Linked DNA regions of Oryctolagus cuniculus. The protein of the gene in region 2 interacts with the protein of the main gene of each other region in a biochemical or structural test. Links are inferred from orthologs where the notes say so. Each region holds a gene or a part of one and is shown on either strand. Other genes may lie near its edges.

Region 1 (3,642 bases), on a different chromosome or scaffold from region 2:
ATGGGACAGACTGGGGGGAGCCTCTGCTTTACTTCCCTGGAGCCTGCTTCCGTGCTGGGCTGCGGGGCCACTGTTGCCAAGACACACTCCCAACTCCCGTCCAAGCTCTCTGGCAATCAGCAGTTTGGGAAACCGAGAAACCAGCACCCCAGGTGGTTGGCGGGGAGAGGTGTACGGCAGCCAGGGCTGTCACTGAGGATTCTAGATGACCGGGCTTTTAGACCCTGGGACAGGTCTCCTGAGGAAAGTTTAAGGGGCAGGTAAGAACTTCCACTAGCAAAGCTGACCTTGACAATCAAATTGCCTTTGACCTTCAGAGCTGTTAATCACTTAATTCTTGCCTAGAACCTTCCCAGGGGGTCCAGAGCTGCAAGAAGGCTGGGTGTGGGCAGGAGTGGGGGAGGGGATGGAGAGGCAGTGGGATGAGCCCCGTGGCCACACAGCTCGGGGCTGCAGCCGGGGCTCTGCCCAGCCCAGGCCCCTCCTTGCCGGGAGGAGAGGGCGCCCGGACGCTGCTCACCTGCCGTTGCCGTACTTGATGCGGATGTCACGACTACGGTTGAGCTCCTTGCCGTCCTTGAACCACCGGTAGGAGGGCTGGGGGTTCCCGGCTGCTGCCTCGCACTTGAGTGACTGCTTCTCACCCACCTGTCCTGTCTGGCTCTTCATCTTCTTCAGCTTCGGCCGGGTGGCTGTGGGGCACAAGGCAGATGGGTGAGTGTGGTGGAGGTGGGCACAGTGCCAAGCGTGAGCGAAGGGGGGTGTGGGGCCCTGTCCTTGGGCTGGGCTGGAAGAGGCAGGGAGCGAGGTGAGGGCTGAGGGCCCGCCCCCGGGCGCGTTTCTCATCTGCAGTGCTATCCAGGTAGCTGCTGCTCAGGAAGTGGCCCTGTGCCTGCCAGCTTAGGAAAGCAGCGCAGTAAGCCCGCGATTTCACTGCAATGATTGAACTCGTTCACAGGCGGGGACGCTGAGGCTCAGCACGGTCAGGTCTCTTGCCTAAGGGGGCGGGCAATGAAACGATTCAAAGCCAGGTCTCCTCGACTTCGTTCTCACGATCTAACTCTTGTCCCGGATGCCCAGGCCTGCGCCATGCCCAGAGGGCACAGGTGGACCGAGAGGACACCTCAGCTCCCACTCTCAGGCAGAGCGGCTGTGACCGGCACTGCTGTCACTGCAGGGTGTGCCCAGGCCAGGCTCGGGGCAGCACTCTCTCTGCTCAGAGGTAAGGGCTGGGAGGGAGGATGGAGGAAGGCGAGCCAGGCACAGGGGGCGCCATGGCTGACGTGGGTGGGTGAGATGGGGGGCAAGGCCTGGATGGCACTGGCGGACACAGGACCTGTTACTGATGCAAAACCACCTGTGCCAAGCTGCAGGCTTCCCCGGCTTTCCTTAAACTCCCTGCAATTTGCACACAGCCCAGTCTGCCAGGCATCACAGACTGCCAGGCATCACCTCCTTGCTCCTCTCCCCATCAACTAAACAAAGACAAACAAGTAAAAGGAAAAAGGTGAGGGCAAGCCAGAGCTCCCTGCTGGGCTGTGTGATAAACCCCATGGGCACAGCCCCCCTCAGCAGGTGCACGCCTTCCTGCACGCGCTCACTGTCCCAAGCACCGTCCCACTGCCTGCCGCTGAAGCTGAGGCTCTGAGAGCTCCAGGGTCTGGGAAGTGGGCAGGAGATGGGATGGCTGCAGGGCACGGAGAGAGCAGGGAGCCCGCCTTAGGAGCACACCATACAGGCAGCACAGCTCCGCTCACGTCGGGAGGGAAAGACTACAGAAGATCAAAAGAAAATCAATGTGATCCCAGTGCTCAGAACTCTCTCTCCCTTTCCCTCCCTCGCTGCCTCCGCCTGCCTCTCTCTCTCTCTCTCTCTCTCTCTCTCTCTCTCTCTCCACACACACACACACACACACACACACACAGTGGGATCAGTGCTAGCAACATGTTTCTTTCATTTAACGAAACAATGTAAGCCTTTCACCTTGGTGTTGAATATTAATAGGAGCATTTCCCCACAATGAGATCTCTAAGTCATGAGTTTCTGGAGATGAAAACAGACGCTGCTTGAGAAACGGGTTCCGTGAGCAATCTGGTTTGGAGAACATGTGCGTGAGCCCGGGCCAGGAAGCATCTTTATCCACTTCAATAAGATGCTCCAAGCAAGGACCTTGACACTGTTTTTCTTGGAACCCTTAGCAGCATTTCAAGGAAATAAAGTTATGTGGAACAAATTCTCTGACCTGACTAATGGTGGACGTGCAGAAGGGTACACGGCTTATCAAACAAGTCTCCCTGCAACTTCTGACGACAGCCACGTGACTGCCTCCTAAGGGCGAACTGACTTTATCAGCTCTCTTTACACCCCTCAGAGATCTGTTAGTCACAACCCCCCTACCCTCGGCTACGCACACATGTGGTTTTCAGGGCATCCTTTTTCATGACTGCGTAATGTTCCTGGGGCACGTGCCCCATAATTAAATAGTGCATTCCTGCTGTGGGGCAGTCAGCAAGCCCCCTCCCTCCATCACACATGACCCAGGGGGAACCTCCTCATAGGTGCATAACCACACACCTCCCAGCACCCCTCTGCTCTAGGCGTTCAAGTCTGAGCTTTGCAACTGTGAGCTTTGGGTCCTGGGGCCGTGTCCACAGGCTTGCTGCGTTGGCACCTCAGCGCCCTCCTTGGCAACACACAGGTGGTAAATAATAGCTGCTCCCTCAGGGGGTGAGGGCTGCGAGGATTCCATGAGATGATGCACGGAGCACCTGGCGCAGATGCAGCAGCTAATGAGGGCCGGCTATTACTGCTATTGCTAGCCACAATTATTTCCTACGGCGATCTTGCTCAAAGCAGAAGTGCTGCGTCAAAGGGGGTGCAAATCTGCTCTGCGCATGCTGCCAACACCCCTGGGGGAGGCTGCACCCAGCTGCACTGCCCCCAGTGGATGGCAGAGCCTGTTCTTCCTACATCCTCCCCAACAGGAGCCCTTATCATGCCTCTCATCTCGGCCAATTAGCCAGGCAAAAGATAGCGTCGATTTGTTAGTTTCAATTTGCACTACGTGCATTACTGGTGAGGCTGACTTTTTTCACAAGTGCATCGGTCTGCTGTGTTTCTTCCTATGCAGTCGCCGGTTCACGCCTGTGGTCTGTTTCTTTACCGAGTGCTCGGCTTATTGATTTGCCAGAGCTCCTGAGAAGCCTGAGGGCTCCTCACCTTCTGCAGTGTCTTCCTACTTCCCTCATTCTCACAGCTTAAAATCCTGGCGTATTTTTGGGCACCGAGAGCCTTTATGCGCATCAGTGTGTTCACCTGTGGGAGCTTCTGGAACGTCATTCTTGCGCGTGTGAGTGAAGTCGCGCCTCAGCACCCTCCCAGCCCCGCGGCATCAGCCTCCTTTACCCGCTCTGTACTGCCCAGTGGCTCCTCCCCGTGGCGCTCACCTGGCAGCAAGGTCTCTAGGGAGCTGCTTGTGATGCCAAGCGGAAGGCTGGGACGTGGTCCGCAGAGCCCAGCAGTGCACCCAGGCATGGCGCTTTGGTTTTTAGTTTATTTCAGAGGCAGAGAGACACACACACAGAGGGAGCTCCTGTCCTCTGGTTCACTCCCAGAATGCCCACAATGGTCGGCACTGGGACT
Region 2 (4,366 bases):
AAGGGCCATGTACACAGTTCTGCACAATCAGTTCCATTCTGGTTAGTCGCCATCATCTGCTCTAGGCTTGGTTTCTCCCTGCCCTAGGCTGCTTTTGGGTAAAAAAGCATGCTCAGCTTGTTTTGTCTCTTTGCTGGGCCTAGGAAAGAGAGAGAAGCTTTTTTTTGGGGGGGGGGGTGCGTAGGAAAGAGAAACTCCAGGCTTCTGCTCTTCCTATCTGTTCCAGGGAGATTCTTAAGGGACAGGGCTAGAGATAAAAGATGTGGGAGAGAAAAGGGAAGGTCCCAGTTGATGACAGAAGATACAGGGTGGTTTGATTTTTAAGTTCCCAGGTACTTTTTATTTATATATTTCCTATTTGTAGAGAAACCAAAAAAGGAAAATGATTAGTACGTAGTATGCCTGCGCAAATAGCAAACCCATAACCTACTAACCCCAGGAGATTTTGGCTCCTGTCCTGGGTAGTTTCAGAGCTGTAAGAGGTATGGGGTATGTACGTGGAGAGTCTCCAATTCCAGGATATAGTAATTAGATTCAGAAACCTCTCAGAGAATCCCAAAGCTACCAGTGACCCGGGGATTAGGGAGCCTAACTGGCAGAGAACACGGAAGTGTCTCCAGCTGCGTCTACTACTAGAATAAACCTCATCATTTGAGGTCCATTACATTCTGACATGGCCGCCTTAAATTCTTTCAGACCCAACAGTTCAGGCTTGGAACGTTTTTGAGCCCTTTAAAAGCAAATTAGCAGTTGGGCTAGAATGTGCCTAGAGAGAATGAACCCCAGACAAGTGGTCCAGAGAAAAGGCAGCATGGCCCATGAGAATCTGAAAGTCAATGATGTGGTTCTGCCAATGCAGATTTTTAGTTTGGTTCAGAGTCTTCCCGTTTGGCCGGGTGTAACTGGGGAAGGGGGATGATTACCGCGGAGGACGACCTGGTGTGCTGGGGCTACCAGTTACCGAACTCTCCTGTAAATTACCTTCTAAGCGTGGAGCATGACTGTTTTTTTTTTTTTTGGGGGGGGGGGAGGGTTTGCACATCCTTTTACTGAAGAAAGTTCTGTCTGTGGATGAGCACTGTGGGGCAATGGAGAAAAAAAAAAAATCTGTCCTCTAAGCATCCTAACGGTGGTCTGTCCCCTCGCGGGCCAGCTGTCCCGTCCTCCGCCGGGGCGGGAAGGAGAGTGTTTCGGTCCACGGATTCGGGTGAGCCCTTTAAATCCAGCCTCCCCGCCCCCACCTCCCCGTTGCCTCTCTCTGACAGGTGTTTTCCCAACTCTGGAGGCTGAGGATTTTGGGGAGTGGCTGAGCCAATAAGATCTCCCTTTTTGGGGGGGGGGAAGGGCGTGGCCAGCTGGGTCAGAGCAGGGGCGGGGTTTGTGCCGCTGAGCCGAGCTTGCCTGGTTGCGTGGAGGGTTGTTTTATCCCCCCCCCCCCACCGTCCCCACCGCCCCCCACCTTTTTTTTATTTATTTCGGAGTCTTATTAATTTCTCTGTGGGGCTGCAGCTGGAGACCGCGGAGCGTTGGAAATGACGCTCGGAGCTTTAATTACCGCAGCCGCTGGACAAGTGTGAGGAAAGCTGACAGGAACAAGGACAGGATCGGGGGAGACGCCAGCAGCTCCCCCCGCCTCCCGATTTGGACTGGAGGTGCAAGGAAACTGAAAAGGGAGCCGAACATAGCCCGGCTTGGGGGGGGAGAGGCCGGAAACCTACCGCCTCTTTGCAATCAACTTTTTTTGGAAACCTTTCTCTCCCCTTCCTTTTTATTGTTGACCAACCAGTGAGAGAGAGAAAGTGAAGAGAGAGCGAGAGCGCGAAGCTCCCACGGGGAAAATAGCTGCACAGTCCGCCCGGAGCAGCCCGCGCCACCCGGGAGCGCTCCCCGGCGCGCTCCGCGACGCCCACTCCTCTACGGCCGGCCCGGCCCTGGGCCCGCGGGCGCGGACTCGGTCGCCCGCGCTGGGGAGCCGCTGGACCGCGCGCGCCGCGCCCGCCCCCTCGCGCCCCCACTCGCGTCGGACTGGGGGAATCTCCTCCGCGTGCCCGAAAGGGGCTATGCCAGTTGGACATGTAATTGTCAGCACGGGACCTGAGACTTCCAAAAAATGAAGCTGGCGACAGGACTGTGGGTCTGGGTGAGCCTTCTCGTGGCGGCGGGGACCGTCCAGCCCGGCGCTTCTCAGTCAGGTGGGTCGCGCTCCTTCTCGCGCTCCAGCAGTTGAACCTGTCGCCGCCGCCGCCGCCGGCTAGGCTGCCTCGGTGGCTCCCCTGCCGTCTTTGCCCACCCCGACCCCGGCTCGCCCCCAGGCGCGGAGGGACCCCTGGACTGGGGCCTCTGGCACCGGCTCCCGGTCACCCCTTTCTTTCTCCATCCTAAACTTACCCTGTGTGTATGTGCGCGGGCGCGCAAGTGTTTTATTTATCGTGAAAAATTACTCTGCACCCCATGACCCTTTCCCCCCCTCTCTCCTTAAGCCACCTTCTTTCTCCCTCGCGTGTTTTCCCTGTGCCTAAGCGGGCTCGCTGCTAGTCGCGCCTGTTGTTCGGACGCGGGAGACCCAGACCCTCAGCCAGAGGAGCCCTCCGGTCTCGGACTCTGTGCCCTCAAGGCAACAAGCCGCAAAGGAAGGCGCACCGCAGGAGCCTGGGCAGGGCTGGGGTCCCGGGGTGGTGCTGGCCGGGCTGCTCCGCAGCCCGCGGGCTGTGGAGCGTGCAGCTCCGAGAACCAGGCTGTGCACCTGTGTGTGCTCCCTGTGGCCGCTGCGCCCCCAGTCGCCCGAGGTTTGCGGGGTCAGGCACGACTGGAGCCCAGCCTGGGCAGCCTGGAGAGCGCGGCGGGCGGGCGTGCCTCGGCCCGGGCCTGGAACTGCCAGCCTCCTCGGCTGGCGTCCCGGAGTCCCTCGCCCCATTGACTCGAGGGGTGCTTGCTTGCATGCCTGTCCTATTAAAAAAAATTAAAAGAGGCTTGGCACGTTGAGCTAGGAGCCCGGCCTTCCCGTCGGTGGCTGTGTTTGGCTCCGGGAGGAGTTCTTCCTGTAGTTCAACTTGCTATTGGCCGGACTCCCTCCAACTTCTCTGTTTACTGCCCGGCCGGGCTGCGGAGCCTGCCGGTCGCGCGAATTGATTTAACCCGAGGCGGGCGCGGCGGCTGCGCTCCCGGGCGCGGTCAGTGTTTGCTGGAGAGCTTGAGCCCCAGGTACCTGGACAGGCAAAGGGCTAATTGACCCCGAGGGGCCGCGCAGGGGGCTGGCGCGCCGCAGCGGGCAGGGCTAATGACAGCAGCACCTGCAGGGACAGGGGAGCTCTAAGTTTCCAACACTGGGAGTTTCCTGGGGATGACCTGGGGACTGGAAAGGAATGAGGAGAACCGGTGTCTGACGCGGCCAAGGTGGGGGGTGGTGGTGGTGGTGGCCTCTGGAGAGCCCGGGGGAGATTTCCGGAGCCGTTTGGGGTTGCTGGCGAGAGCGTGGGAGGCAGCTTGAGGAGATAAAGCCCCTGGGAGTGGCGATAGGGCGAGCTTTAGGCCTCCGGAGGGTGTCCTCCTGACCTCGCCAAGAGAACGGCGGCTCGCGGTAGTTTCCCCGCTCCGCCCCCGCCTCCCCCTCGCTGCCTAGTAAATAACAAGTTCCAATCATGGAGCCTTTCAGAATGACCTTCGCCTGGCACATGTGCGCCGTTTGCACCCTCCCAATTACTCCGAAATTCTTCATGCATACCAGGTCCCGCGCTCCAGCCACCTCGGGAATTGCACCGTCTCGAGATTCCAAGCGGCCTCTTAGATACATCCCTTTTTATCTGCCTCCCCACTCCCAGTCCCTTCATATTTTCCCTCAATGGGTTGATTATGCACATTGACCCATTCAAAAACAGTTGCGACCGACAGGCAGGCTGAGGCGGGAGGAATTTCTAGGAGGCGACCTACTGGGGGCTGTCTGGTTCAGCCTCTGCCGCTGGAGGACCCGCTCCCGGTACGCAGCAATTTGGTATTAACTGTGCGGCGCGGGGCTGAGCTATTCCGAAAAGCCCTTTTCAGAATTTCTGCAAGGAATGTAATCCAAATTAGTTCTGCAGCTGTCCTCTTCCTCGTCTCAGGCGACACCAGCTCTTGCCCTCGCTCGTCTCTTCTCCTTTCCCTGGGCGAATTGTCAGACCCACAAGTGAGCCCATTTAGAGCGCGAGGATTAGCGTGCCATTGTTGTTCCGAGTGTGACTCTGTACTTGAAATTCTGGGGGCACAAAGGAGAGCCTCACTTGTTCAGAACACAAAGTGATCCAGATGAAAGGGCCGCACAAAGAAAAGCTCTTGGGTGCATCCCTGGTATAATTGCAACACTCATACTAAGGTGACCCACTGGAAACTG

The links.
Region 1: the proteins of ERBB4 (region 2) and NRG2 form a complex in vitro, tested with the Homo sapiens proteins (2 studies listed by BioGRID). The link is inferred for Oryctolagus cuniculus from reciprocal best matches to the Homo sapiens genes ERBB4 and NRG2.

The regions. Positions count from the first base shown.
Region 1 is NC_091437.1:27,536,999-27,540,640, forward strand, and holds part of NRG2 (pro-neuregulin-2, membrane-bound isoform), read right to left. Parts: intron 693-3,642; coding exon 521-692; intron 1-520. UniProt on the Homo sapiens protein: Direct ligand for ERBB3 and ERBB4 tyrosine kinase receptors. Concomitantly recruits ERBB1 and ERBB2 coreceptors, resulting in ligand-stimulated tyrosine phosphorylation and activation of the ERBB receptors.
Region 2 is NC_091434.1:26,982,530-26,986,895, forward strand, and holds the start of ERBB4 (receptor tyrosine-protein kinase erbB-4), read left to right. Parts: upstream 1-1,425; 5' UTR 1,426-2,110; coding exon 2,111-2,192; intron 2,193-2,199; exon of another isoform or gene 2,200-4,366. UniProt on the Homo sapiens protein: Tyrosine-protein kinase that plays an essential role as cell surface receptor for neuregulins and EGF family members and regulates development of the heart, the central nervous system and the mammary gland, gene transcription, cell proliferation, differentiation, migration and apoptosis.